Caenorhabditis elegans: one gene and its partners. The protein of the gene in region 1 interacts with the protein of each later gene in a pairwise test. Each region holds a gene or a part of one and is shown in the gene's direction. Other genes may lie near its edges.

Region 1 (9,300 bases):
GTTAAAGTCGAACAATTGAAATAATAGTACATATTTTTTCGACAACACATTGCTAGAATCTTACGGATTATGGGAAAGGTGTAATTTCTCTAGAAATAAAAATTTGGTTTTATTCGTGTTCCAACAAGTCTGCAAACTTATTTATAATGAACGAAAGCCAGAGATCATAACGTTTTCTTTACAGGAAATTATATTTTTATGGGATCAAATTCATGTAAAGAAGGAACAAGGCGCTCAGAAGAAGGAAAAGAAAAAACTTAGAGAATAACTCTCAGAAACAAGAGTTCAAAAACCCAGGACTCTAGTGAATAGGAGTTTCCGGGAATGAAGCACATGGTCGAGAGCCTATGCATGGAGCAAGAGCAGCTTAACCTAATGGAAGAGCTCTTTGACCTTTATGAAATTAAGATTATAGTTTAAGCTATAATTTAGAGCCTAATATGTAATTGATAATCTCATTTTAAAAGCTCAAATTCAGAACTCTTGAATTCCATTTTGAGTGCTGCATTAAGTTGTAGAAGAAGAAATAGCAAAAGAGACGTCATTGTTCCTTTTGTGTTTTGCACATTTCAAAACTAATTACGTTTACGTGCAAGTTTTCAAGTTTTGAAAAAAGTTTTTGTAAACAAATTATAAGATGTGTAAACTATTAGGTGGTAAATATTTCTTAATAGATAAAATGAAAAGTTTCCATTGAAAAAATTTAAGCTAAATGAGTGTCTTGAAATAAGAAATGAAGAAATGTCTACTCTGGGCAAACAGGAAACATGCAGGAAATAGGCGTAGGCACGCACGTAGGTCGGCATTTCCGTGGGAAGAAGTGCCGCTTACCTTAGAAGTTCCTCCAAGTTACTTTATTATGTGACTCATAGATATTGTATATAATCAAGTACCTATTCTCACAATCAAGTAGCATAAGAATTCTACATGTTTATGATGCGCTCAAAGCTTCTGTCAGACAATAAGTACACCTTTTTGATACAATATATTCAAACCCACAAAGCGACCAAAATGAGCTGAAACGAAATGACGTGAAGAGACAGGTTGTGTGAGTGTGTTAATGGAGCTATTAGTCTATTTCAGAGAACGGATCACAATGTGAAAACAAACAGAAAAAAGTTATGAGAGAAAGGAAAGAGCTTCTTTATTTTCTTTTTTTTTCATTTTAGTTTGTTGCCAGACTAAACGAAAATCCACAAAAAAATCCCCGTGGACTAGTACATTCGTAATATGCGTATTAAAAACTTCATGAAAAATGTGCGTTTCTGCTTGAAAAAACATTGAAATTTTCAGCTGTTTTATAATACTGGGAACACATGATCTTGTAATGATTAAAGGGAATTCTAGGAGCTCAACTGAATTAAAACGAATTAAAAGAAATATAGTTTTTAAAAAAATACTACATATAAGTAATATTTATTTTTTATCAGACAAGACTTTTCATGATTTGCACTACAAACTTCATACAATTATTGATAGAACTCTAAAGTATTTATGAAACATATGTTATCCTCTATTGAAATCGGTTCGAAGCTTGTTTACGTGTGGTCCAAAGTTCTTGGTTCTTTGTGCGGTAACTCTTGAAAATCAAATTTTGCCTGAATTCTAAGCTGCTTCTTGACACAAAGTAAATATTCCATTTGAGAGAAAATATTGAAACTTTTCTTATTCTTGGACCTACATATGTTTCAAGAATACCTAAAGTTTCACACGAGCATATTCTGATTAAAGAACAGCTGCCTGGAGTATTTGAAACAATATGTGTTTGAATTTTAAAATTAAAACTGGTAAAGAAAATTTATGTTTTAAAGCTGAACAGCCAATGTCTAGACAAAACATGTTACGCCGACAAACAATGGACAATGTGTTAGGTTATTTTCAAAGCAAAAAAAGAGCAAAATGAGCACGACGACCACATTCAGCTTGCGGAAGGAAATTCGAACTGAAATATTTCCCATTGAAGGACGTTGTCGAGCATTCTCAAGGTGACGTCATCGTAGTGAAATGACATATTGCAAGTGGAAAACGTCATCACTCTTGAAGATGATATGAATTCAAAACGATTTATAACTATTTATATATTAAAAAATCATTTTCCGTATTCATTTATGTATCTCGTGATGATGTGAAAGTTTATTTGAAAATTCTTAGAAAACATAAAAATAGCAGCGAAAATACTTCCGATTGCATCAAAGTCTCATTTTTATAGAACGTGCAAATTTTTCTGAAGTAATTGTGAATTTTCAGAAAAACGATGCCGGAACAAACACAAATTTCTGAAATGATTGATATCGTGAATAACTATTAGAGTTGTCTCCTGTTTGGGAGATTGTTTCATTAATTTCCCCTTCTAATATGTCAATGCCCTTCTCAGTTTTTCATTCTACGTTCATAAATGTATGACTATTTCTCAACGAAACCTAGCTGCAGACCCGAATAAATTCACTCAATAAAACTTACGCGGATTTTTACCTCAAAAATACGGTACCAGGTCTCGGCACGACACTTTTTATCAAATACAAAAGGGTGTGAGCCTTTAAAGAGTACTGTAATTTCGAACTTTTTTTGTTGGGTAATTTCCATCGATTTTTCCTTGTGTTCGGTTTGCCAAAGTTTATGTGTTTCACAATTGTTTTATTCTGGGTTTTCATAATAAATAAAAATATGTTTACCGAAAAACAATGGAAAATCAATAAAAATAGTCTTGTCGAGATGAGATCAGTTTATGCCGACTCGTGAGCTCCAAAAGGATTTTCAACGCCAAGTAGTTCGTTAGAGCGCGTTTGCACTACCATCTCTGGGGGGGAAGTTTCGGGGACATTTGAGTTTTGGCTATATATTTTAAAATCGTTTGTAAAACATAATTAATTTTTGATTGGTCAAATATTAATGTAATGCAAATCATCTTTTCCCTCGATCTTTTGAACATATGTTGTATCATTTCTTCATGAATCTGCATCCCAAGTAAGCAAATTCTCGCTATTTTGTGTGGTTGCATACAACCGGTTCTTGTCATCTCCCTCACTCTCTCTCCCTCATTTTTTCCTCTCTTACTTTTCTTTCAGTGAAATCTAGTTTCCATAGCTTTCACTTCTTTCAATAACTCTTAATTTCACTTTAATTACATTCAACTTTTTCTAAAAATTAATATTTCCAATTTTGGTGTCAGGTTGTCCCATCACTTCACTGAGCACAAAAATGGCGGGAAAAATATGTTTGAATTATTGTGACGTCACAGCGCATTTTGAATAATTGTTTTTCAATCAAAGCGTCAATTTTTGAGAATGTTTCAATTATTCTTCAAATACTTTTTTGTGTTAATTTATAAAGTTGATATTTCAACGAGTATTCAATAATTTGGCAACTTAAATGGAAAAATTAATCAAATACCGTATATTCTCTATTAGTAAGGCGCCTCTATTAGTTTTGCACCTCTAATAGTTTTGCACCCCTTCCATTGTTCCCTATTTTTAGGAATACAAAATTTGCATTATTAAATCGTTTTACCAATCAGGAAAATTATTACAGACTTGGTATAACAAGTCAAAATTGGCAAAATATGAGTACAACTGGGACAATGGTTGCGTATCAGTCGTAAAATTCGTCCATTTTGGTTCATAAGGTGTTACTGAAATTGATGATATTTGCCATAACTTAATGAGAAACATGAGAAAAAAAACCTGCTTGAAAATTAGTTTTGCACCCTCTATTAGTTTTGCATCAAATTATGTGTCCGAAAATTAGTTTTGCACGCCTTACTAATAGAGGATATACGGTATATAAAGCAATTTTGTTGAAATAAATAAGTTGTTTATAAATTAATACAAAAAATTATTTGAAGAATGATTGAAAATGGGTACACATGTTATCACTGTATTTAAGACTGTTATTGTTTTTCGTTATCAATTTCTTTATCGAACAAAACGTGACTTGTAAGAGGAGAAGTGATTTTGAACAACTATTTTTAAATGGAACCAATCTGCATTTCGTTTCAAAATGAATTCTCTCTTTGAACATTTAGATCAATAATATATCGTTATCGCCCTTGTTTTTAAAGTTCGAATTCTCAAAAAAAAAATTGCAGTGAGGTCTCGGAGAGAGAGACCATCAGAATATGCAATTCGACGAAGAATGGAGCAAAGCCGATCCAATTGTACATGCACTTCTGCATCAGAAAGTTAGTTTCATTCGTCTCAACGTAGAAAACATTCCATTTTTACAGTCAGTAACTCCGGCTGCATGGCAAGATCTCTTTTATCACGTGTATAAAATCACATCTTGGGTAGATGACGGGCCTTTGAAAATTCGCGATATTCTCACTCGATGTATCAATGATTATGTTCATGAAGCAAATAAAGTAAGTTTTTTTTTCAATTAAAGGTGGAGTAGCGCCAGTGGAGATTTTGTAACTTATAAGTTTTGGCAATTTGCCATAATTTTGAAAAATATGAGCTTTTGAGGAAATCCAAATCAATGTCACATGTTCCGGTCCCTACAATGTTTTAATACAAATAGTTAAAACAAAATTATAGTTTAAAAAAATGTAGGAAAACATTTTTTTGGTCTACTTCCAACATTATGAGTAGCAAAAACTGATTAAATTTCACTGTTGGACACTAAATAAAATTTTTCTCAAGTTTTATTATATATTTGGTCATTTTGGCACCATTGGAGTAAAAAAAACTGCAGTTTCAATATTATTGTAAATTAATGGTTTATTTTTTAAATTCTACAGAGGATAAGAAGCTTGCAAACAGATGGAAGTCTTCTAATTGGTTACATCAAAGAATGGAATCGGTTTTATCAGCAAGCTAACATTCTTCCACTTCCATTCAAGGTGGTTTTTAATTGTCTTCTGTCTATTCAAATCTGGTCTTGCTACAGAAAATCGATGAAAGTTCGAGACGCCGAAGTGTTCCTGAAACTCCGGAAGAATCTATTCGTACCGTGATGCTCGAAAAATGGAACGAAATTATTTTCATGAATATTTCTGAGCAACTACTGGTTGAAGCTCTTCGTTTAGTGAAAGAAGAACGTGATGGAAATATAATCGACGCACAAAATGTTATCGGTATCCGAGAAAGCTTTGGTAAGATACAATTATTTGTACCTATTACACGAAGAATCATTTTCAGTGGCACTGAACGATCGAGCAGGGGAAGATCCACTTTTAGTCTACCGACAATCATTTGAGAGACAGTTTATCGAACAGACCACGGAATATTACAAAAAAATATGCGGAAATGTGAGTTAACCTGTTTTTTGGTGTTTCAAATACGTAATGTGTTTCAGCTTCTCAACGAACTCGGTGTTCTCGAATATATGGTTTATGCAGATAAGAAATTGGAAGAAGAGCAGCAACGAGCCAAAAGATATTTGGAAATGAATTCACCAACGTCTGGGAAACACATGGAAAAAGCAGTAATTGCACTTGTTGAGTCGTTTGAAGATACGATTTTAGCAGAATGCTCAAAACTAATTGCCAGTAAAGATGTCGAGCGTAAGTTTTGTATTTGCTCGAATTGTAAAAATGTATTCTTTTCCAGGTCTCCAACGTCTGTATCGCTTGATTCGTAGAACTCGAAGCGGAATTGATACAGTTCTCAAGTGTATTGACACTCATATACGAACTGAAGGGTTGAATGACATGAGAAACAATGCTGAGAACCTTTCTACGGTGATTTACAATATGCATTTTATTAAATTCATTAACTAGTTAATTGCAGGATCCTGAAAGATATGTCCAACAGCTCCTTCTTATGTTCGATAAGTTTTCTTCCCTGGTTCGAGAAGGATTCTGTGACGATGCCCGCCTTTTGACCGCTCGCGACAAAGCATTTCGGGCTGTTGTGAATGATTCGTCAATATTCAAAACTGAAATGATGAATAAGAAAGGTCGTACCTTATCGGTGGAATCAAAATGCGCTGAACTACTAGCCAATTATTGTGATCTTTTGCTAAGAAAAACACAATTGAGCAAAAAACTGACATCAGAAGAGATTGATGAAAAACTCAATCAAGTGGTAATAATTCAATTTTAGTTATTCTTAAATATAGATATAATCTCAGCTTCTCGTACTCAAATATGTTGAAAACAAAGATGTTTTCATGCGTTTTCACCGAGCCCATCTTTCACGTCGTTTAATTTTGGAAATGAGTGCTGATCAGGAAAAAGAAGAGATGATGGTGACAAAACTTCGAGAATGCGGAATGCCATCCGATGCAGTTAATAAATTATCCAGAATGTTACAAGATATCGAGCTGAATAAGGTAAAATTATATATTCTTATTTTAAAAACCTTGTACTTTCAGGACATGAACTCTTCTTTCAAAAAGGCGCTAACTGGAACAAATAACAACAAATCAATTGCAGGTACTTGAAAGAATTAATATTCGATTAACTTCAAAATATTTTACAGATTCTATCAATATGAAAGTCTTAAATGGAGGTGCTTGGGGTCGCGGTGGGTCTGAAAGAATTCGATTCTCTCTGCCTCGTGAATTAGAGGACTTTGTCCCCGAGGTAGAATTCCCTTTCACCATACCTATAAAATTATCTTAATTTCAGATGGAAGCGTTTTACAAAAAGCAACATAATGGTAGAAAGCTATGCTGGATGCATCACTGGAGCAGTGGAACTGTTTATATCTCAAAACAGCTTCAGATTAACTTAACATGTCTTTTCAGATGGTCTTCGGAACTGCAAATGGCGGCAGATTCGATCTTGAATGCACAACGTTCCAGATGGCAGTTCTATTTTGTTTCAATGATAGAGCTCATGATAAAATATCATTGGAAACTCTACGGCTTGCTACTGAATTACCGGATGCTGAACTGAATCGCACACTTCTGGTAACTTTCAATATTTCATTCTTATTTATTCAAGGACTTTTGTGAGTTCACAGTTTGAGATAATTCGGAACTAATTCTCAGATAATGCATTTCTTATTTCAGTCACTGGTTGCATATCCAAAGATGAGATACCAAATTCTTCTTTGCGACGTTCCTTCGACAACCGTCACAGCCAGAGATTTCACTGATTCTACAAAATTCCTTATTAATCATGACTTCAATGTTGTGAAAAATGGAAAGTCACAGCAACGTGGAAAAGTTAATTTGATAGGAAGACTTCAGTTGTCATTGGAAGCCAACGCTGAGAAGGAACACGAGAGCATCGTAGCATTGCGGGAGCTCCGCGTTCAAGAAGGAATTGTGAAGATTTTGAAAACTAGAAAAACTTACACATTGGCTCAGCTCACAATGGAGTTGGTCGAAATTTTGAAACCATTGTTTATTCCCAATAGGAAAATCATCAAAGAACAAATTGATTGGCTTATTGAAAACAAGTAAGAAAAAGTGAATAAAGTGCATAAATTCAACAAAAATTTCAGATATATGGAACGCCGTGCGGATGACATCAACACTTTCGTTTATATCTCCTGATTTTTTTCCTGTATTTTCCTTTTTAACTATATGTTATAGTATCAGTCTCACTTTCCGATCTAGTCAATTCGCATTGGCCTCTAACCACCATAGTTTTTCACCATTTTTCTGTATTATAATTTGTCATTTTGCATCTTCGATTTGGTATGGGTCTTAATTTCTCGGCTTATTCTCAAAATAATTGTATTGTTATCAAATGTTCATGTCTTACGCGTTCTCTTTTCAAACATGGTGGCGGTGAATGAATTTATTTTTTACTCGATTCGCAAGAAATGATAGATATTTGAACAGATGGATTTTACATTCGATTCCTGCTAGAGATCAACTCGGATAACAGGAAAGTAAATTTGTTGAAAATATTATGTCAAAATCAGTATATAATGAGAAGGAATGTTTGAACATCAAATACTGAAAATGAAATTATTTTATATTTTATTATGCATCCTTGTTGCCTCCGAAGCATTGGATTTTGTAAGTTTTACAATATTACGTAGACATTCAAATATGAGAGGTTCCGCCATATCTTATACGCATGGGTCTCGCCACGAGAATAACGAGTTACTGTAACTTGTATCGATTAATGGGTCGTTAGTGCATAATCTTTTTAAAATTAAATGAAAACAATACTGTCAAGATTTTTAATTTTAAAAAGTTTATGCAAAAGCGACCCGTAACTTATTATAACATAACTTACAGTAACTTATTGTTCGAGTGGCGAGACCCCGTGCGCAAAAGAAATGACGAAGATATCATCTGAAAACCAAAGTTATAATTTTGAAAATAACGGGGTTCTAAAGTCATTTCACTCATAAATAAATGTACTATTTGTCTTACTAATACTATTTAAATCTTTGTTTTAAAGTCCCATAACATCCTAAATATTGGAAAATATTTTATTGCAGAATCCATTACATCAATTGTGCTGGTTATGTGTACGTATTGTGAACTTGGCAAAACGCACGAGCAACTCACAAGCTGTCAAAGAAGTGAAAAATTTCAACATAGAAACTTTTTCGACATAGAAAACTGACTTTTCAGATTGAAAAGAATACTTGTAATATGGTATTGGACAATAATATGGTGTGTAATGGAGCAATTGAGGTGTCTGCAATGTATTTTGGTTGGACTCCTGCTGTAAAATTATGCCATAATTTGTATATGTGTGCATCTCCAAGTTCAGACGGAAGAAGCAAGATGAAGTCTCCTGTGAAACGAGGACGGCCTCCCAATGAATTGACAAAAAAAGTTCTTGATGTAGGATCAAGTTTGAGGTCACAATAAAGACATCGAGTAAGATTTTCAGATTTTGTACAACGATGAGTTCCCAGTTTCCGAAAATCAAGATCGTTTTCGCAGACAAGTAAATGTCAATGAAAGTGCAATCAACTTCAACGGCTTTAATGATATCGGGAAAAGTTAATGACTTTCACTTCATGAAAAACAATTTTAATTTTTCAGTGCTCCAAGGACATGTTACCAATTTCAACAACGACATCGTGCATTTTTTGAAAAAGTTCCAAAAAGCAATTAGTGTATCTGGACGGAATGAATAAATAAATTTTAGTACTGTGAATATAATTTTTATACGACTTGATATCTGAAATATCTTTTATAAGAATAAATATTGTATTTTGTAGATCCTCACAGGGTTGTTTCAATCCTCTCGCACCCGGATCTCCGAGAAATAACGACATAAACGTGGTTATAAATAATTACTAAACTGGGCGCAATCAAGGGCGCCTCCGTAGCGTCTTTCCCTGTAACTGTTCACAACAAAGCTCTATAGAAGTGAAAATTATTAAATGAGCGTGTATTCAAAGTTTGAAGAAAAAGAAACATGAAAGAGTTTTAAAACGA
Region 2 (6,983 bases), on another chromosome or scaffold:
TCTTCGACGTCTTCGTTCTTCTTTATCTTCAAAACCTGTCCCAAAAATTTCGAAAAACTCTACGAATTCTCTAATTCTCTCAATTCCTCATGATCTATCATCCCCCGCCTTTCATATTCCAATTCTTTTATTAATATCTTTATGTGCAAACTTTTTGTTACTTTTTTCGATTCTTATGTGTTCTATCATGGCGTGTCGAATGGAAAAAGGTGTGGATAGTGTTTGAACGGATCGATTAATTTTATTAAATAGAATAAATAAATGACCTGGTAAAACATGTAATGAAACACAACAAGAAACAAACGGAGATTGGGAGTTTAATATTGATAAAATAAACATGGTTCCGGGGACTTAAAGTCCATATTTATGATGAACCCGGACTGGGATCGTAGAGATTTTGAAGAGATTGGTTGAGAAAAATAACAGGAAATTTGAAATTGGACAAGATTAAAGTATATGACTCATTTAAAGACGAAGAGACTGGAATTGGTTGAAGCATTCAATAATGCTAGGATCGGTTCCTTCAGAGAAAACTTCATCAGCGATGTTACTCGAGTGCTTCAACAGTGTTTCCGCGTGCTGAAAAATATTTCATATAAAAATATATCAAAAACGGAGACCATTCTTTAATGTTTCACATTTTTAAGATTGTTCTAGCCGACTCGAAACGAGTATAAAACTTACAGCTAGCAAAACGTGACAGAATCTTCCACGGAGCCACATGAATTTAGGTGTTTGAGTTCCTGGTGTATCCCCAGAACCATCCATCTCGGATGTGTTGGACGTGGCCGCGTTTTTTATTTCTTCAATGAATGCCTAAAATTGAAATATTTACTAGAGATAATACATCTTGAAGCAACTTACTATTAAGAAATCATTGAAAAGACCCTTTTGGAAAGTGACCATTCTTTCTAATTTCTCTTTATTGTTCTCCAAATCTTCGAGATCTTGTTTGAATTTTTCTTCTTTGGTTTCATCTTCATCCATCTATAAAAAAGGGATCTTATTATATAATTCTCTCTAAATAAATACCTTAATATCAGACTCTTCATCATCCTCCTCTTTGATCTTATTCTCTGTTTTCTCAGTCAGCTCTTTTATGTCTTTTTCGACAACATTAATCTGTCGTGTGAGCTTTTCCAATGCTTGATTGAGCACTTCGAACAACCATTGTCTGAATATTTTCGGTTAGAGAAAGTTTTGGAGTATGTGAAAGTGTACCTGTCATGTTCTTGCCACATTTTCTCGTCGAATAGCCAACCAACAACGGCTGAACAATCGATTACTTGCATTTTAAGAAGCTTATCAGTAAGGATCATCAACATCTGTTGATTCGTTTTCCAGCACGAATAAAGTGTTTCCAGTAGCTTCTCTTGATAAAGTTCTGATGCGTCACAGACAGTTTTCAGAGTGGTTTGGTATCTGAAATGAATAAAAACTTTGTTGATTTTTAGGATTACATTCGAAACAGGGACGGTAATCGAAAATTATCGAGATCAAAAAATTTGAAAAAAACTTGAAAATTCGCAACAACGAATTACTACTGTAGTACTGTATTTTCTCTAATAATATTGCACCCCCACTACTTTGAAAGGTTATAACTCTCTTCGTTTCGAAAATATCAACAAATAATTAAATAAAGACGATACAAAATTAATTTTTAAAAAAGTGTGCAGTTAACAATTTTTGAGTATACACAATATTATAACTATCAATTCGTATTATCTAAATAACTAACCTGAATAGAGCTGAGAAGTTGTGTGAATAAGTCTTCGATGCCATTTTGAGCATAACCATTACGAAAAGACCGAATTCATTAATGTTATATGGCAATTCGTCATTTTCATCATTTGATTTAAGCTCATTGAGGAATGCTTCAGCTGGCTGACGTTCTTGGAACATTTGAGTGAATGTTTCCGCTCGTTGAACTAGTGCAGTGTCTTCTGAAATTACAAGTTTTGATTTTTCCAAAAAGTAGTTATTTACCTTCATCAATGAGATATCGAACTTCTGGAGAGCATGGATGAATCTTGACAAAATCTTGGGGCAATGCAGCGATAATTTTCTCATAAGATCCAAAACGACGACACTTTTCTATGACTTCTCGTACAAAGATTTGACTGCCGGAAAATGCATCTTTCTGCAAATATTACCGTGCAATGTTATGAACAATAGAAAATAAAAACATACATTCAAACAATCCTTCCAATCTGTCCAGGTGTATCGATATTGGAAATTAGAAAGATGGAAACTGAACCAATCAACCATTCTGTAAAATAAAATTGAAATATGAAATTTGAAATATAATTTACCTGTCAATACAAACTGGTTGCATTGAATCTGCGCGCCGATAGATACACTCAACAGTTTGAACAAGAATCTGTGGATAGTCGTCTGGTTTAAGCTTTAGCAGTTCGAGAACGAGAGAGCCTGAAAGAAAATATAATTTAGTTATTTGGATTCTACATTAAACCCCCGCTAAATCGAGGTTTAATGGACTTTTAATGAAGAATGTTGACTTACAATGAAATATTGCTGGATATGGGGCATGTGGTAGACGGAGCATTTGACCGAAAATAGTTTCGAAAATAAGGAATCCAATAGGAACAGATGGATTCTCTTCTGCGAAAGCGAGAAGTTCACGAGCACATGCTTTTCTATTAAATTGATTTTTTTCAATGATCCAAGCGATTTCACCTTCGAAGAGGAAACGATCTATTGAACTATCACCGGGAAGGGGTTTACTCTGAAAATTATAATAGACCCTTTGAAATAATTTTCAGTAAATAAAAAAGATATTTCCTTGCTTAAAAAGACAAATGAACGAACAGTTTAGACAGTTTCAATTTGCACTTACAGAAAAGGCGGAACAATCCGCGTCTTGAAACAGACGGAAAACGACCAGTGGATATGGATAAATCATATCCGAGGTATGTTCTGGAGATTGAAAACTTGGCAAATTATGTTGGAGGGCATCTTGAAGGGTGGTTTCAAAACCAGAATAATGTCGAGGAATGTGATTTTCAACCCAATCCGCATTACGAAGAGCTTCAATCTGAGCTGATAAACTTTCGAGATAATCTTCTTGTTTTTGATCTGTCGAGCCTTCCCGCCAAACTTGGAGAAGCTAAAAATATATTATTTTTAGTTATTAACAAGTTTAATATTAATCTTACCGCAACGTGATTTTTATTTCTCAACTCGAGATACTTTCCAATCGCTTCTCCAATATTCTCCATTTGCTCGGGAGCTTTTTCAGTCAATTCTTTACCAATCCATGGAAGACAACGAAGAACTGTTTGGATATAATAATCATTACGAACTTGAGGCATGTTTTCCTCAAAAGCAGCTGCAATGAAGCTCTCCAAATATTCTCCAATTGATTGAGCTGTGAGCACTCCAGAATTTCCAAGATCACAAAGGAAAATAGCAAGATTTTGAGCCTCTTGATATTTTTGTTTTGAAAGAAGATCTTGCTGCTCAGAAATTAATTTTTCTACGACGTCTCCTCCGAAATTGAAATTCTTTGAATTCAACAGACCAACTAGAGTTGTGTATACAGTAACACGATTTGGGAGATAGATGGCACATCCAGCAATAATATCAATAATTGAAGCCCGATATTTTTCGAGATCATCATGTAAAAAAGCTGTGAGTTTATCCAAATTGCATTCGATCGATGAGCCAGTATTCTATAACAACATATTTTGGTTGGAAATTGATGTTTTATGTCTTACCTCTCCAACTTTTCCGATGACTCCCTGCAGTTTTTTTTCTACATCTTCGATTAGTGGAGCCCCGCGACGTCTTTTCATTTGAACTTCATCCTCATCTGAAAATCATTTAATTTTTTTAAACAAGATTTAAACAATGCAGGAAGTAGCTTACCATCGAATTGCCTTCTCCGCGACATTTTCGTTGTTTTTCGAACAAAATCTGATTAAATCTCACTGGTTTTGCTTGAGAAATCGCAAAAAAATCCGATGGAAAATTCGAAATTGAATATATTCTAAACAAGGCGCGCGTGTGGAACAGCGCAGTGTCGTAGGTTACTGTCTGACATCTCTGCGCCTCTTCTTCTCAACGCCACTTCTGTTTATGCAGCAAAAAACAAAACCGGTCTTAAATTGCCAATAATTTCAATAAATCAATAAATTATTGCAAAAAAAATGAACAATTCAAGCAATGCAGATTCACAAGAAGGAAGTACGAGTGCTCAGTAAGTCAATTATTTCCATTTCAATTAAATTCTCGAAATATAAATTACTTTCAGAAAGCAAAAAACCGCGAATCCGTCTGAAAGTCGTCCTTTTGTGCTCAAAAAATGGAATGCGTTAGCTGTTTGGGCCTGGGATGTTGAATGTGACACATGTGCAATCTGCAGAGTACATTTAATGGGTAAATTTTATTTAATTCAGTGGTTAAAAAGTTGAATCGCTTCAAAAATATAACAAAACTTATTTTTTTGATATTTTGTGAGATAAAAATGTCGCAGATAATTTTATGATGGTTTTTGGTTTAAAAAAATTTTCAGTTTTTTCTCTAAAAAAACACAATTCTACAGAAATCTTCCATAATATTTCTCTACCCCTAAATATCATTACAAACTTACGAAAAAAAATATTTTGGAGCATTTCTAGAGGTCTTGAAAAAAGTGGAAAAATGCACTGAAAAAGTTCAGATCGACTTTTTACTAGTTCGAAGTGCTCATATGCAGCTAAATTTTTTTAGTGATATGTTCAAAAAGTATTCTTTTGAAAGATATATTTGTATTTAAAAGTTCAGGAACAAGCAAAAGTGCTTGCTTTGAAAGTAAAAAACACGCAAATTTTCGTGAACAGAATAGGTAATATACAACTATGTCGAAATTGAAATATATTGTCCTTTTTTTTTAGCTTGCAAATATATATTTAAAATCAACATTTTTTAAAAATATGCATAGGGAGCAGGAGATCCACACTACCAGAATGAGATTTAATCCAATAATTATGAACAACTTTTTTCAGAAGAGTGTCTTCGTTGTCAATCTGAACCAAGTGCTGAATGCTACGTAGTGTGGGGAGACTGTAATCATTCATTCCATCATTGTTGCATGACTCAGTGGATTCGACAGAACAACAGATGCCCACTGTGTCAAAAGGATTGGGTCGTCAGCCGCACGAGCAAATAATGTATCAATTATCTACTTTTACACGTTCTTTCCCAATTTACATGTAATTTTTCGACTCTTTTTCAAAAGAACTTTTGTCTGTAAATTGTCTCTTCACCCACTTCTTCCCTCTCCATTTTTCACCCCGTTCTCCACTTTGTTCCCATTCACAAAAATAATGACTGTAAATAAAAATTCACACACACACAGACGACATATACACGAATATGAACACAAAGAAGCAGAGCAATAGAAAAAATGATTCTGAAAATTTCAAAGAAAAACAAAAGACGCCAGCCGTGACATGGTCGATTGTCTGGCGGACTATACGAACAGATACTTCTAGATTTTACTGAAACTGAGATAGATATATTTAAGAATGAGTTCAGGTGAGAACATTTACAGTTTGAATATTTTATAGAAAATTATCCGAGTTTCCAGAGTTTTTCCACCGTCAAGGAGTCTTCAAACGTGTCCGTTCAGTGATAATTCGACCAAGTCAAAGTCCATCCACTTCAGTGACACGTGGAAATCTGACAAGAAGTTTCAGTGCTCGTGGAGATGCAGAAAAACGAAATAGAGCAATACTTCGAAGACAAGATGCAATTGATGATGATGATCAAGAGTGAGTCTGAAGAGTTCAGCAATGATATTATTTGATTTAATTGTCCCTTGGGTCTCACCGCGCTCCCTTCATAAAACAGTTATTTTGTGTGCGAGTCTGTAAGATTACTGTAGACATATGAGTAATTGTCTTCTACAACACAAGTGACTATAGTATTAAATGTTTTGCAAAAAAAAGTTGAAAAAATCGATCAAAATTTCCTACAGTAACTTCAAAGGGCGCGTGCAGAAATCTTTGTTCATACATGCAGCGCGCGTGGCGAGACCTTTTTAAACGAATGCGGCTCCTTGAAATCAATCGGCGAAGCAACCATATACAGTGTACAAAAGAGGGTTGAAAAAGTGATGTTTCTCATTTCTGTACCCAAAATCTTGAAATTTTAGTGCGTTTTGCCAACATTGGGCCTAACTTCTTCAAAAAAACGTTACTTTTTTATCTACTCCATGAGAAATTGAGAAGCAACATTTGGACTGAAAAGTTCGTGATTCCTAAAATTGATATTTTGTGAAAATAAACATTTTTAAATGCTTTTGTTCTTTGAAATTTCCAATACGTTACTTCTCTATTGTTTTATTGTTCTCATTGACCTGTTTAATAAACTACAAAGAATATAATAATGTTAGATATAAACGAAAACAATAAAATCTTCCTCATTCCCATTTCAATTGAACCATTTGTTTGAGTTCTGACTCATTTCCACCTTTTTTCCTCGATCACCATTCACAGAAAATTTAACCTCTTGGGAACTTGAATAGATTATCATCTGCCAAAAAAAGCCTCAATATATGGGAGCGGCATATCTCAAAGATTTTGTTAATTGGAATATTCTTGAATTTATCTACAATTGGCATTTTTGAAAGTATATTGGACTTGAAATTTTTTTTTGGAAGTTTTGTCTGAAGTGTCTCTATTTCGGATAGAATTTTGTGACGTTTTAAAAAAATAAAAAGTAATATCGAGTTTTTACAAAAAATCTTTATCAATTAGTCTATTCTAAAACCCTGAGCCAATATGAGCAGAAACTGGAGCATTTTTCACTAATTTCATACGAGTTTAAGTAGGTTCAATTACAAATATAACATCCATTAAGTAAAGTTTATACCTCACGAGAAGCCGAAAAGAGAACGTTAAATTTTTCCAAATGGTAAAATATTTAATTGGATCCCTTTTATGAAATCTTCACCCCGTCAACCACTACGCTACTTTTTT
Region 3 (7,943 bases), 6.6 Mb from region 1:
AAAGCTGGGAAATGCTTAGAAAATTGGCATTAAAGGTGAAAAAGCCCTAGAATTGCTTTAAAACACCGAATTTCGCAATTTTCTCGGCTAAAACGGACAGAAATTGAAATTTTTAATGGAATAATACGTCAAAAAGCTGAAAATTTCAGAAAAATGCGTCGAAATTCGCATAAGAACTGAAGAACGTCCTCTAAATAAAACTCTGGTTATAGTTTCGTTAAAACGCCGAGTTTCGCAATTTTCTGTGCTAAAAACGAACAGAAATTGCAATTTTTGTCGAAAAAATATCTGAAAGAGCCTAAAAAATAGGAAAAAGCGGTTTTTTTTCTCGAAAATTTGACTCAAAATTTGCAAAAATCTGAATTTTTCAATTTGTTGCGGTTTTAGCAACTTTTTGTGACAAAAAATTTATTTTTTAGACTGAATTTGGTATTTTTAGGCCTATTTTCAAACAAAAAAAAAGAAGTTTAAAATATCAGAAATTCGGATTGAAAAAGTTTTTACTTTTTAAGCCTATTTTCGGAAAATAAGCTTTAAAGTAATAATTTCAGCTGAAAAAATGACTTTTTAGGTGCAAAACATGGAAAAAAACGTTAAATTTTGCGATTTTCTAGGCTAAAACGCACAGAAATTGCCATTTTCATCAGAAAAAGCTGAAAAAAAACCCGCCTAAAATCAGAATTAAAAAAAAAATTTCTCATTCCAGACCGTCTCTACGGAACTCACACAGTGGAAGAACGTCACCGTCACCGTTACGAAGTGAATCCCCACGTTGTTCCACAAATGGCTCGGAAGGGATTCTTGTTCGTCGGAATGGGTGTAGATGAACAGAATACTGATATTTGGGATGTTAAGAAGCGAACCGACAGCTCGGCGGAGCTTATGCAGATGGCTGATCAGACTGAAATTGATTTGTTGCACAAAATTGATGATTTGTGTCAGAGAGGAGGCGATGGGGTTACTCGGCCAGCTGTTCGTATGGAAATGTTCGAGATGAAGGGTAAATATAAGGACGAAAATTCAATTTTTAAGCCCTGGCAGACAGATTCTCATACAGAAACCTTCAAATTTTAAGAAAAAAAAGGCTAAAATCTTAGATTTTGCCATTAAAAATGTTTCAAAAATGTTTTATGGCGGTTAAAAATTATGAAAAAATGCCCAGCTTGTAGCTAATTAAGCGGCCGAAAAATTGATTTTTAATTGCTTATTAGTTCACATTTTTCGTTATTCCAGGTGCATTTTGCCTACCTATAGACCTTAAATATACCTAAATCAACGAAAAAACGTGCTATTAATGACAGAAATAAGACAAGATTCAATTAAAAATCAATTTTAATTAGTTCGAAAGTTTGAACCGTAATAAAAAAGTTTTGAAACATTTTTAAAATATCTCAATTCAAAATGTGTTTATTTTAGCATATTTCGAGTTTACACAAGCTATTTCATGAGATCAATCGATATTCTTCTCGCTTTAGTTGCTCCAAATCGATAATTACCTCTGGAAATTGCGTCCTGGCAATTTTCAGAGAGAGCGAACGCGCTCCATTGCGAACCATTTGATTTTGAAATTGATGACTCTCTCTCTGCAAGTGGTTACGCAATTTTCTTTGCTAACAGTTAATTTTTTTCTCAAAATCTGCTGGTTTGGCCCTGTCACTCTTAATTTAGGCCGTTTTCTCTTAGTCGTATTTTTCTACTTTTTTAAAAATTCTTACCAAGGGTGTAATTGGAGAAAATCGAGAAATTTCGATTTTTTAATCAAATTTTTTTTGTGGAGAAAAACATAAAAAGGCATATTATTTTCTTATAAAATGTGGGAAAACACCCCAAATTTTCAGCTATTTTCCGAGAAATCGACTTTGTTTTCGAAAAATCAAAAAAAAAAAAAAAAAAATTTCATTTTTTTGATAATTTTTATTCAAGTTGACGAGTAAAAACTATAAGGAAATCGATATTTTTCTTCAAAAATGTGGGAAAAATAGCCCAAATTTTAAGCCATTTTCCGGACAAATCTACAATTTTTTTTTTGAAATTTCAGAAAAATTTTAACAAGACTGTCAAAAAAAAATTCGGCTAAAAAAAAGAAACTGTTGGTTTTTTATCGTCATACCAACTAAAATATAACATTTTTGAAGAAAAAAAAAGAAGTTTTTTGGTCCGAAAAACCTAACAAAAATTCCATTTTTGGAAGTTATTTTCCTAAAAATCTAAATTTTTCTGGTGAAAATCGATGAACAAACTTTAAAAAAAAATCAAATTTTGTTTATGCTGATAAACATTATTTTATTCATTTTTGAGAAGATTTTTCAAAAAGTCGAAATTAAAAAAAACCGGCACCCCTTGAAGCTTATCTCCAATTCCAGACCACCCATACTTTGTCGGAGCCCAATTCCATCCCGAATACCTTTCCCATCCACTCACTCCATCTCCACCATTCTTCGGTCTTCTGCTTGCCGCAACTCGTCAACTTAATTCATATTTCTCTGGGTCAAGAAGTCCGGCTCTTCAAGTTGTAAATGAAGAGGAGCATCTTCATCATACAAAAGAGAATGACTCGGAGGAGAAGCGTGAAGATGTTGTTGGAGCAATGTTGGGGAAACTGAAACTCGAGGGAAATGCTGTGCCAGGAACTCAGAGATTGGCTTCTTTCCATTAATTGTTTCCTCAATTTTTCGTCGTTTTTTTTCACTTTTTTTGTAGTTGAGTAGATGATTTTGTCAGAAAATCGTCTTAAAATTTGCAGAAATTGACCGATTTTTTGCCTTTTTTTGAGCCAAAAATCCATTTTTCGAGCTGAAATCGCTGAATTTTTGGATTTTTTGCAGTTTTTGAGCCAAAAATCCATTTTTCAAGCTGACATTGCTGAATTTTTGGATTTTTGCTCTCCGAAAAGCTATTTTTTGTGCGAAAAACGGGAAAACGCTCAAAACTTGGTATTTTTCGATTTTTTTTTCAATTTTTGCCGTTTTTTGAGCTGCTTATCTTAAAATTTACATTTTTGCGCCAGAAAACTCATTTTTTCAGCCGATTTCCCAAAAATATGCCTAAAAAGGAACACTTTTACCCCGAAAAGTGGTTTTTTTTTTTGAGGCAAAAATGTTTTTAAAAATCCAAAATTTGAGCGAAATATGTAAAAAATGGCTTTTTCCACCAAAAAACTATTTTTTGATCTGAAATTGCGATATTTCAAGCTTTTTTTCCCAAAAACTGGCCTAAAAATACCAATTTCAGTCCAAAAAATTATTTTTTGACTCAAAAAATTGCCAAAATCCGCCAGAAAAACGAAAAATTCAGATTTTTGCAAATTTTGAGTCAAATTTTCGAAAAAATCGACCCTTTTTCGTCAATTTCAGACCATTTTCAGACAAAAATCCCTCCAGTTTTTGTTGTTTTTATTCTTATTTTCTGATATTCCAAAGATAATTTTCTTCTTTTTTTTCGCATTTTTCTCGTCGTTTTTGTCCTTTTGTTATCCTTGTTTCTGTTTTTTTTTCATTAATTTCTCCCATAGTCACCTTCATTTTTTCCCGGATTTATTCAATTGTTGACCCAGTTTCATAGATTTTGTTCTCTACCAACACCCGATGAACTTCGTTTTTAGAGTTTTTGATCACTTATTTTGGCGCCCAAAATTGTCTATTTTCTTGCCTCTTTTGGTTATCTTTTTCACGTTTTCAGACCCCGAAAAGTGATTTTCAGACCAAATTTTGTTTCCAGATGAGTGCTTATCATGTCGGGCAACTGGTCGACAAAATGTCGAATCCGGATAAGGATTTCCGGTTCATGGCTTGCAATGATTTGATGAAAGATTTGCAGACTGGAACTATCGCTTTGGAGGACGATTCGACTGCTAAAGTATAGTAAAATCTCAAAAATTGGCGGTTTTTGGTGCAAAAATTGCTTTAAAAAGCTAAAAAATAACCCTAAAAATTGAATTTTCCAGTGAAATTTTATTGTAATTTTGAAAAAAAAGGTGAAAAATAGCTAAAATCTGTACTTTCAACAGAAAAATCTGTTTGAAATTTCAAAAAAAATTTTAGCTGAAAATTGAAATTTCTACAAAAAAAATTCGAAACCGGCAAAAACCGTAATTTTCTACAAAAAAAATTATTTAAAAATCCGAAAAACTGCTAAATTCTGCTGTAATTTAAATTTTTAACGAAAAAAAAATTATTTAAAATTACAAAAAAAAACTGTTTATTTTGGCAAAAACCGGAAATTTCTGCCAAAAAATGTTGAAAATTCAAAAAATGGCTAAAATTAACTAAAAACCGCCGGAATTTAAACAAAAATTCCAAAAAAAAATTCAAAATTTAGCTAAAATCTGAATTTTCTAATTTTTTTCAGGTCATTCGTGCTCTAATCAAACTGCTCAGTGACTCAAACGGAGAAGTTCAAAATCTTGCGATCAAATGTATTGGACTCCTTGCTCAGCCATCGAAAATCAAAACGCATCATGTCAGTAATCGGAAAATTCAAAATTTTAATTTCGGTGTTTTTAACGGAAAAAATTGGAAAAAATACGACAAAACTGGAGATTTCAATGAGAAAAATACGAAAATTCCTTCAAAAAATTAAGAAATGACTGGAAAGTTTGAAAATTTCGTACAAAAAATGGAATTTTGGCTGGAAATTCGAATTTTCAGTCGATTTTTATATAAAATTTCAGAAAAGTCACATTTTCATTCAATTTTTGGAGGAAAACACGAATTTCCAGTCAAAGTTTGACAAAAAAGTCATTTTTTGGATGGATGGTCAAATTTTAAATCAATTTTTGTCGGAAAATTCGAATTTAAAATAAATTTTCAGCGTGAAATTCAATATTTCTACAATAAAAAGTTTAAAAAATTGGAATTTTCAGTCGAATTTCCACAGAAAGTTCAAAATTTCAGTAGATTTTTCAACATTTCAACGGGAAATTAAATATTTAACATTAAAAATTTTTGTTTAAAAAAATTATCATTAAAAATTTGAAAAAATCCCAAATTTCAGCTGGAATATCTCGTCGAAGAGCTCACTCCACACGTTTTTTCGAAAGCTGAACAATCAAGAGATATTCATTCTCTCACACTTAAAGCAATGATTCTAAATTTGGCTCCATCGGCTTCAAGTAATGCAACAACTACAGTTGTCAAGAGAATGTTGCCAAAATTTGTGGATTCTCTGTCGTTGTGTGCTCCAGATGATGCGGCTCGTGTCGATGTTCTCGATTTGATTGGAGAAGTTTTGCTGAGATTTGGTGATGTTGTAAGTGTGGATTTACACCCGGAAATCCTATTTTTTGGGCTTTTCAAGCCTTAAAATAGCCCAAATGAGCCTTTTTTGAGCTCAAATATCTTCAAAATTTCAAAAAAAATACCCCAAATCTAGCCAAAAACCGTCATTTTGCAGAAATTCCGTTTTTTTCTACATTTTGTCGTCAAGTCCGGTGTCTTGGCGGTGTTTGCTCACTTTTGAGGCTACAGTACTCTAGAAAACAGCCATTTTGCTCGTTACCGGGATTACTGTACCCTTAAAAGCACGCAAACACGACATATTGCGGAAAATATTGATTATTCTGCATTTTGCCGTCAAATCCGGTGTGTTGTCAGTGTTTGCGAATTTGTGGAGCTACAGTAACCCTAAAATTGAAAAATTGTCAGTTTTGGGTTTTTTAAACCAAACTTTCAAAAATTTTCCATTTTTTGCTTTAAAAACTCTGAAATAATGCCAAATTTCGAAAAAAAAACGAAAAATCCAACGCGATTTTTCAATTTTGGCTAATTTCCTCCAAAATGGGAATTGCGACCAATCAGCGATTCGCCCCGCCCACTTTTCAACCAATCAGATGGAATTCAGCCGAAATTTCACGTTTTTCCCGAATTTAAGACTATTTTGGCACTTTTTGAAGCAAAATCTCACACATTTCTAGTTCCAGGTTCCCGAAATGCACAAAGGATCGTTGAAAGTGATGGTAGATCACTTGTATTCATTCCGTTCCGCTATCAGAAAGAAGGCAATCACTGGAATCGGACATCTTGCCTCTGTAATCAACGGAGAGCTTTACGATGAGCTCGTTCAAGATTTGCTCAAAGAGCTGGCTCAACGATCCCCTCCATCGTCGGCTGCTCAAAATGTGCAACTTCGTACACTTGTGATCGCGTTGAGCACTGTCGCACGAGCCAGTGGATCGAGATTCTCGAAGCATACGCCGAAAGTTGTTCCGTTCCTTCTTCAATATCTTCAAATTGATCCTGGAACCGAATCGGAGCACGATGATCTACGGGAAGCTTCTATTCAAGGATTGGAAGTATTTTTGTACCGGAATCCACAGGAAGTTGTAGCTTTTGAGAAGGAAGTTATCCAACAGCTCACTGATGCACTGGCCTATGATCCGAATTACGAGTATGGAGATGATGATGAGGATGAGCAAATGGAAGATGATGAAGATGGTAGGAAACTGTGCGAAAATTGAAGATTTTAAAGATTTTTTAGCTGAAATTCTTGATTTTGGAGCTTTTTTTAGCCTTAAAGGTGGACTACGCTCAGTGGGGATATTGCTTTAAAACACGCCTATGGTACCACAATGACCGAATATCATGATAAAAAAATTCAAAAACATTTTTCTAGATTTTATATGATTTTTTGAAAATTGAAAAAAATATCAGTTTTTGCCTAATTCCTATTTGAATTTCCGCCAATTGAATTTGTTCGAGGGAGCGCGCTTGCACGTTTTTAAATTTATTTATTTATTTATTGTTATTTTCCACCAACTTTTAAAGTTTTCGGTGTATTTTTGCTCGAATTTTAGAGAAAAAGTCAAAATAAATGCAAATTTTCGATTAAAAAGCAAACGTACAGGCGTAAAAATGAAAAAGTAACGCTTTTAAACGATTTAAAACCTGAATTAACTAATTTCCTGGTAGCGTGCTTTTTAATCGAAAATTTGCAATTATTTTGACTTTTTCTCTAAATTCAAGCAAAAATACACCGAAAACTTTAAAAGTTGGTGGAAAATAACAATAAATAAAATAAATAAATTTAAAAACGTGCAAGCGCGCTCCATCGAACAAATCCAATTGGCGGAAATTCAAAAAGGAATTAGGGGAAAACTGCGATTTTTCCAATTTTCAAAAAATCATATAAAATTTGGAAAATTTTTTTGAATTTTTTAATCATGGTATTTGGTCATTGTGGTACCATAGGCGTGTTTTAAAGCAATTTCCTCGCTGAGCGTAGTCCACCTTTAAATATTCAAATTTTTTGCAGACGACGAAGATGAATACAGCGACGACGAAGACGTCACATGGAAAGTTCGCCGCGCCGCCGCAAAAGCCATCGAAGCAATGATCTCATCACACCGGGAATCCCTTCTCAATCTCTCGCAAAAAATCGGTCCAGTAGTGATTGGACGATTCAAAGAACGCGAAGAGACTGTCCGAACTGAAATCATCTCAGTCTACATTGCCCTACTCAATCAGATCTCCATTTTGGTCCCAGATTTGCAGAAGGCCGTTGTGGCCGCCGACGAGGATTCCATTGAAACTGATGATATTGTGGTGATTGGTGGAACCAAATTTTCGACGAATTATCTATCACGCAGCCAGTTGGCTATAATTCAATCGTTAGCTGATCAGAAAGATGTGCTTCTTCGTACAATCACAAAATCGATGAAAAAACACCCGAAAACTGGTCCAAAATGCATTGAACTTCTTTCGGCCCTAATTCGGACCTATCCATCAGGCCTTGAAGATAGTCTCGATGATATTATTCCGGCTGTATCCAACATTTTAACCGATAAAAATGCGTCGGCTCAGGGAAAAATGACTGTGCTCAGCTTCATTTCGAATGCCTTGACACTCAATAATCCGAAGAGATTCAAGAATTTGTTGAGCCCATTGACCACAATTATGACTCATTCAATTTCTGAGCCATTTTATAAAGTCTCAGCAGAAGGCCTCGCA
Region 4 (6,314 bases), 490 kb from region 1:
TGAAGTTGTCCAACACATGACAATCCATATGGCTTTTCCAACACTACAAATCGACCTGGAGCGTGAGCCAAAACCTTTTTCGATAGGTATCGAGCCAGCTGATTGGGATTTGAAAACGTGGCAGGAGTCAGAGCTTTCTGAACTTTTGGATTTAGTGGAGCCGGTGCAGACTCCAAAGAAGTTGAAGACGCTGTATTACTTGTGAATCGACATGTCGATATTCGTCGCAGTGTGTTCATTTTTCTCTGAAAAATCTTGATTATTTTTTAATTATCAAAATAAAATATAAACCGAGTCTGTAAAATTATAAGACGAAAGGTTTCAGATAAGCTTTAGAATTTTTTACCAAATTAATTATCAGAAAGCGAGAAATTCTTGCTAGGAAAAAATGGTATCTTAATTTTACAAGATTTTGGCATACTTTCTTAAAGGCGCATGGATTGATTTGGACTGGTCTCGATGCGCAAAAAAGTTTATGGTAGCTTCGGCTGCTTTATCGTTTATTTCCCTTACATTTTCCAATGGAAGTACTCTGTTTAAAGCGAATTTCGTGTTTAAAAAAAATGCATATTCCTTAAGAATTGGTTTTAAATAAGTTTTCTAAACAAAAATTTCAACAAAAAAGAGACTGCCATGCATGGTCATGGTATTTGTACCATCAACTTTTTATCTCAAAATTAATTATTTTTCACAAAAATCTGACTCATATCTGTTCTCTCACGTTTTCATTTTTCCAACAGTTTTTCCCACTTTTCTTCCGCCCATCCCGCTCCTTTTTCTTTTTTTCCTATCGCCACAAAAACACACACACACACACAGCAGAGAGAAAGAGATAGGAAGAAGACGAGTCGTCGCATTTTTGTCCTCTCTCTTTCCCTTTCTCTCTCCGTTTCAATGTAGCGCGAACCGAGCGATGAGAAGAAGAAAAAAGAAGAAAGAGGAGAAGAAAGGAAGGAGAAAGGAGGAAGAGACTGGCCATTGCCCGCCCGGCCTTCTTCTCCTCCTCACACACACAAAACCACCCCCTTCTCTCCATTTTCCTTCCTTCTTCTTCTCACCATTCTTTTCCTTTTTCCACGCGTCTTCAGTTGATTTCGAACACATTTTGTTAACCGTTCGCTTCTAAATCTATATTACTAAATTTGCAGAATATATTTATTACATTCAAAAAATGAACCGACTACTGGGATGTCTAGATTGCGTTCAAACTGAGGCCTACAACACACTGGAAGATCTCGAAGCACACATTGCTAGTGATCATCTTAACATATGCCCATATGAGTAAGTCTTTAACTTTTAATATGTGGTGAACGTAGCTTTACTATTTTAGATGCGAAAAATGTAAGTACGCTAAGTTTCCAACGGAATTCGCCCTTGTCAGTCACTGTATGAATGATCATGGACTCACCGAATTTTCTGTAAGTCTCCAATGTTGAGAGACGCAGAAAAAAAATTCAACAATAATTTAAATTGCAGATAAAATATCGCTACACACCGGAGTTGAGTATGAAAAAGAAGGAACTGACCCAAAAGCTCGAACGGTGCATTGCAATGAGTCGATCTATGCGGATTGAAGGGAAAATCAGCGATGCGGTGTCAAGCACAGTGGAGAACAGAGTCAAAGTCGAAAACTCAGAAGCAACTGGCACACCTATTCAGTCATCTTCTCCTGTTGTCTTCGTAGATAATGCTTATCATGCCTTTCTAGGTAAACTTACACATAATAATGATTCCCACTCATTTGGATTTAATTCAGACGAAACTCTGGCACGTCACGAAGAAGAACGTGGAGCCGGTCCTTCATTCGAGGGAGCATCTGATGGCGGTGGTCCGATCAAGCCGAAGCAACAAATTCAATGTTCTCTTTGTGGAGACGTTGTTTCCAAACAAAGATCAAGCATGGTGTATCATGCAAATACGCGTCACGGAAAATATGAGCTCTACGAGTGCGGAATCTGTCACAGAAAATGGCAGACAATTGCAAAATCTGATGTGATCAAGCACATAAAAAGCCATCACGAGAGACCCGACGGAACCATCGACTGCGACATGGTTATTGACTATCGAAAAAATCTAGGAAACAAGCTGAAAGAAATTACTGAAAAATGTTTTCCGGAGCGAAAGAAAAAGAGAATTGGATACACGGATTTGCCAGAATAAATATCTTGAAACGATTTAAAAGTTGTTTTCTCATCGTCCCAATTGTTAGAATTACTGTTAAAATACTAACTGATACGGTTTATTTTTGTTAAATACAATTTTTCTTTTTAACCTGTTCTTCTTTGTTCGTTTCGGCAAGAAATAAGACGCGACGAGTAAATTTTAAAAAGAAAGCGAAAGCGTGAAGACAGAAAATAGGTGAGTACGGTGTACGCAAATGCGCGTAGCGTCTGGTGTGTGCAGACAAGCGTTTTTGATGATTCTTTCGAAAGAATTTCGGCAGTGTTGCTCAGTCTGATTTCATTTTATTTATTTTACAACAGCGTATCTCCTTTTTCAATACATATTAGCAATAATGTCAAGTCCTTCATGTTTCCTCATTTTCTATCGGCGGCTTTGTACAACAATGTTGTATTAGGTTCGTGAATCACTTGTTCTAGGGTACAATTTTTCATAAAATCTGATACAACAATTTTATCAATCATATCCTCTATTTAGTTTAGGCTTATAGTATTATAGTATGCATAAACATGTTCAATATTAAGTATTTCATTATATCATCAATGCTACTTTTGCGCTCTTATTTTGAAATGATTACTGTTATTCTCATTTGTATTTTTTCCAGAAATGGCCCAAGCAAGCGACAGCACAGCTATGGAGGTCGAGGAGGCCACAAATCAGACAGTTAAGAAGCGTTTCGAGGTAACACAGATACAATGTTACATGCTTTAACAAACATAGTGCAATTTAAGGTCAAGAAATGGAGTGCCGTCGCACTTTGGGCCTGGGACATTCAGGTCGACAACTGCGCTATTTGCCGCAATCACATCATGGATCTGTGCATCGAGTGCCAAGCGAATCAAGCAGCCGGGCTCAAGGATGAGTGTACCGTTGCATGGGGAAACTGTAATCACGCTTTCCACTTCCATTGCATTTCTCGTTGGCTGAAGACACGACAGGTAGGTTGCTTTTAAACGTGCTTATTTTTGAAAAAATGATATTTATTCAAATGTCAAAGCGGAACAGAAGCCTGCCGCATGCATTTTTGTTAAACAACTTTTGAAAATTTAATTTTTTTCAATTACTAAGTACTCGTAACTAGCATTTCAAAAAGCTTACACATTTTCTAATTCTATCTTTTCAGGTATGCCCATTGGACAATCGTGAGTGGGAATTCCAAAAGTACGGACACTAATCGATCTTCATTCTTCTGCCAACCGCCCGGGCAGTTTCTTCACACTTTTTTACTTGTATTCACTGATTTTTCTTCTATTTCCTTTTGTGAATATGTATTCGTCCCAAAAAAAAGCACATTAAAATCCAGACGTGTTAGTCTCTATGTGATCTGACACTTTTCATTTGTTTATTCAAATCTCCAATCCCTTCTGACCTTCTAAAATCATCCTTCCTCGCTTGAATATTTAATTTTTCTCCGCTAAAAATATAAATATGAACTGTGTCCTCTGGTCTCATAATTCTCAACGAGACAATTCTCGTGCCGTTTATGTGCTTAGGCTGTTTAGGTTCAGGTTGCGGGCACCGTTCAAGCCGCCGGAGCAAAAGGAGGAGGTCTCGTCTCGCGTAATTTATTTGCAATTCGGCTAAAACGTTCAAAACCGAATTGCAGCACATTTCTCGCCGCTTCTTCGTATTCCTTTCCGTAATAATTGATTATTACGATTGCTTGTTCGTTTCTGTGCCAAAGTTTTTTTTAAATTTTGGATACTGATTTTTGTAGAGTTCTCTCATTAATATAGACCAAGATAATTTTCTGCTTTTAAAACTGTCTACAAACGTTTATTGTTCAATAATCGACGTTGCTAAATTGCGGATATTCTTAACTTCATGAAAAGTGAAGTATCACTTTAAAGGCGCACACTACTTCTCTTGGCTGGGTCCTGCCACGATTTCAGATACAGTAGTTCCTCCGAATGCCAAATTGCACAAAATTGTTCATACATATTTAGAAGTGTTGAAGTTCACAAAGTAGGGCAAAACTCAATGAAAATTATACACATCGGTTTATTTTTTTTAATATAACTGCCACTCGAAAATTTAATTCCCAATACTTCTAGACTGTTTTTTTTTCATTCTGAAGTAACTTAAAACGTTTCTTTAAAAACGAGGTATATTCAGGCCGCTATTGGGCTTTGGGCTTACTTAAACTATATAGTTTATAATCACCTGATATCTCACCGCGATCACACCGTAACCTACCGTACTCTCCAACTTAGCTACATATTTATATATTTTCTGTTATCATCGAAGTGATCAGATCAAACACCAATAGGTCAAAATTTACACCACGGGGATCAGTTACTGTCTGCGAGAAGATTTAATTGGTTTTGCGAGTTGTAACTCGAGATTCTCATGTCGGAACAAGCAAACCGACTCCCCTACCCAATACAGTGTATGTTTGTTGAACGTGTTCCTCGATCCACTCCCCGATTTGGAAATCCCATTTTTTATATCCGAACCGTCCGAATCTGTATTGTAGTGTGGGAATGTAAGACACAAGGCAGCAGTAGAAAACAAGAGTTTGAGAGAAAAAAGAATAGGTGGAGCTGCAGGTAGACCCGATTTTTATTGAACAACTTTTTGATGGAATCCGCTGAATTTCAATTGAAGCCACTTATCCATTCGTTTTTGTTGCAAAATCTCAGTTTCTTTTTTATTTTCTTTCATTTCCAGGAAGCCAAATTCGATCTGGCAATGATTCAAAGATGATTCTAGTCCTTGGATTTCAATTTTTAGTGAACATTGCTCACTCCTTACAGGTTGGTAAAATATCCTTATTATTTAAAAATCTATTATATCTGCAAAATCGCATATCAAATATCAATTGAGGTGAAATGGAAGATATAAATATTTTCACATTTATGATACTGGATGATTAAAATACCCAACGCTGATCAGCTTGTTAAAACTCGGTGCTCGAATTCTAAAGTTTTTGTCTAAATAGTTAAATCATAAACTTTTGTTGTTGCTATTACTTTCACGCCTCTTGTGAGTCTCTCAATTTTAAAGGAAATTGTTACTTATAAATCGACACAGGCTCTCCTCTTTTGTCTTTAAACATGAGTGAGGCTTGAAGCCTGCTTTTATGACTTTCAAATTTTCAGAGCGCATTGTTTTTTTTAATCACTAACGAAACAACCGGATAAATTCGTTTCAAAACAATTTATTAGGTTTTTAGATTACAAGTTTCAGTTTGTGGCAGATATGTGTTAAAATGTTCGTGTTTCATTCTGCAGAATAGTTTTAAAATTATATCTGCCCAAGAATTTGGTAGTTAAAATAAGAAGTTTCAAGATGAGTTTTAAATTATGAAACATACTGATAAAACAATTATTGCTCTTAGTTCTTTAAATTTTATTTAACCGAAATATTTTTCCGATTGACAAACCCGTCACAACTTCCGCCTACGCTTCTAGAATATCGAATAACTTTGGTCAACTATTCCATGTAAAAGTACATCCACCCCCTTCCCAGGATCGTTCACTGCGTGGGCAGCATAGAATTGACAATGGTGTATTTGGTAAGATTTTCTGATTTATTTAATTTGATGAAATTATATGAACATTGTGAAAAAGTCAAATAATCAAGCCAGTAAAGTTCTTCTGAGTTTTATCACCCCAAAACGTTAAACCAAAAATTTATCAAGCATTGATCCAACATCCCAATTTTGGGTCAAATTGTTTGGTTTGATCTACAAGTATTTATTCTCTAAAATTCAGAAAAGATTTAGCGAGAACGCTGCAAAAACTATGAAATCTTAGATCATTGAAAAACTTTTCAGATTGTAAAATACTGGTCATGTAATAGCAATAACATTCGTTCCTTTTATTTTTAAAACCATTTTGGATAAATACCAGTAATACTTCGACTTCCCGCTTTCTCAACAGGACCAATTACAGTTATTTTTTGTTTTAAACGTCAACTGTTCACTTGATCCCTCTACTATTACAACAAAAAAAGGAAATATCTGCTTCGTTTATCTAAAGTTTCAAATTGAGCTCATCCACCTGTTTATCCCAACAATCTCTACTCTCTCGCACTGTATTTGATTTAAACGAGGAGGAGTGTCTTGCTCCCAGAGAGTCGTGAAATCGTACGAGAGCCTTCTTCTCCTCTCCTAAAACGGCTCAATTTGG

Evidence for each region.
Region 2: the proteins of cul-5 (region 1) and rbx-2 interact in a two-hybrid assay, tested with the Caenorhabditis elegans proteins (one study listed by BioGRID).
Region 3: the proteins of cul-5 (region 1) and cand-1 interact in a two-hybrid assay, tested with the Caenorhabditis elegans proteins (one study listed by BioGRID).
Region 4: the proteins of cul-5 (region 1) and rbx-1 interact in a two-hybrid assay, tested with the Caenorhabditis elegans proteins (one study listed by BioGRID).

Annotation. Positions count from the first base shown.
Region 1 is NC_003283.11:10,175,451-10,184,750, forward strand, and holds cul-5 (Cullin-5), read left to right. Parts: upstream 1-4,084; 5' UTR 4,085-4,114; coding exon 4,115-4,177; intron 4,178-4,222; coding exon 4,223-4,357; intron 4,358-4,735; coding exon 4,736-4,837; intron 4,838-4,884; coding exon 4,885-5,089; intron 5,090-5,135; coding exon 5,136-5,245; intron 5,246-5,292; coding exon 5,293-5,500; intron 5,501-5,546; coding exon 5,547-5,677; intron 5,678-5,726; coding exon 5,727-6,023; intron 6,024-6,069; coding exon 6,070-6,270; intron 6,271-6,312; coding exon 6,313-6,373; intron 6,374-6,419; coding exon 6,420-6,523; intron 6,524-6,568; coding exon 6,569-6,640; intron 6,641-6,687; coding exon 6,688-6,852; intron 6,853-6,954; coding exon 6,955-7,346; intron 7,347-7,391; coding exon 7,392-7,443; 3' UTR 7,444-7,704; downstream 7,705-9,300. Other genes in the region: ZK856.4 (Saposin B-type domain-containing protein), read left to right, coding at 7,834-7,914, 8,346-8,429, 8,482-8,697, 8,747-8,858, 8,902-8,996. UniProt on the Caenorhabditis elegans protein: Probable core component of cullin-based SCF-like E3 ubiquitin-protein ligase complexes which mediate the ubiquitination and subsequent proteasomal degradation of target proteins.
Region 2 is NC_003279.8:6,419,036-6,426,018, reverse strand, and holds rbx-2 (RING-box protein 2), read left to right. Parts: upstream 1-4,033; 5' UTR 4,034-4,169; coding exon 4,170-4,219; intron 4,220-4,273; coding exon 4,274-4,398; intron 4,399-5,006; coding exon 5,007-5,170; 3' UTR 5,171-5,359; downstream 5,360-6,983. Other genes in the region: lron-6 (eLRR (extracellular Leucine-Rich Repeat) ONly), read left to right, coding at 1-226; ncbp-1 (Nuclear cap-binding protein subunit 1), read right to left, coding at 466-579, 685-816, 865-987, 1,033-1,174, 1,222-1,422, 1,739-1,943, 1,987-2,140, 2,191-2,269 and 6 more.
Region 3 is NC_003283.11:16,799,157-16,807,099, forward strand, and holds the start of cand-1 (Cullin-associated NEDD8-dissociated protein 1), read left to right. Parts: upstream 1-3,715; 5' UTR 3,716-3,717; coding exon 3,718-3,855; intron 3,856-4,347; coding exon 4,348-4,458; intron 4,459-4,992; coding exon 4,993-5,247; intron 5,248-5,917; coding exon 5,918-6,431; intron 6,432-7,248; coding exon 7,249-7,943. Other genes in the region: ctps-1 (CTP synthase), read left to right, coding at 707-1,000, 2,364-2,656.
Region 4 is NC_003283.11:9,686,994-9,693,307, reverse strand, and holds rbx-1 (RING-box protein 1), read left to right. Parts: upstream 1-2,785; 5' UTR 2,786-2,787; coding exon 2,788-2,862; intron 2,863-2,912; coding exon 2,913-3,119; intron 3,120-3,304; coding exon 3,305-3,355; 3' UTR 3,356-3,622; downstream 3,623-6,314. Other genes in the region: ZK287.7 (RNA_ligase domain-containing protein), read right to left, coding at 1-239; ztf-9 (C2H2-type domain-containing protein), read left to right, coding at 1,172-1,281, 1,331-1,418, 1,477-1,708, 1,757-2,160. UniProt on the Caenorhabditis elegans protein: Component of the SCF (SKP1-CUL1-F-box protein) E3 ubiquitin ligase complex, which mediates the ubiquitination and subsequent proteasomal degradation of target proteins.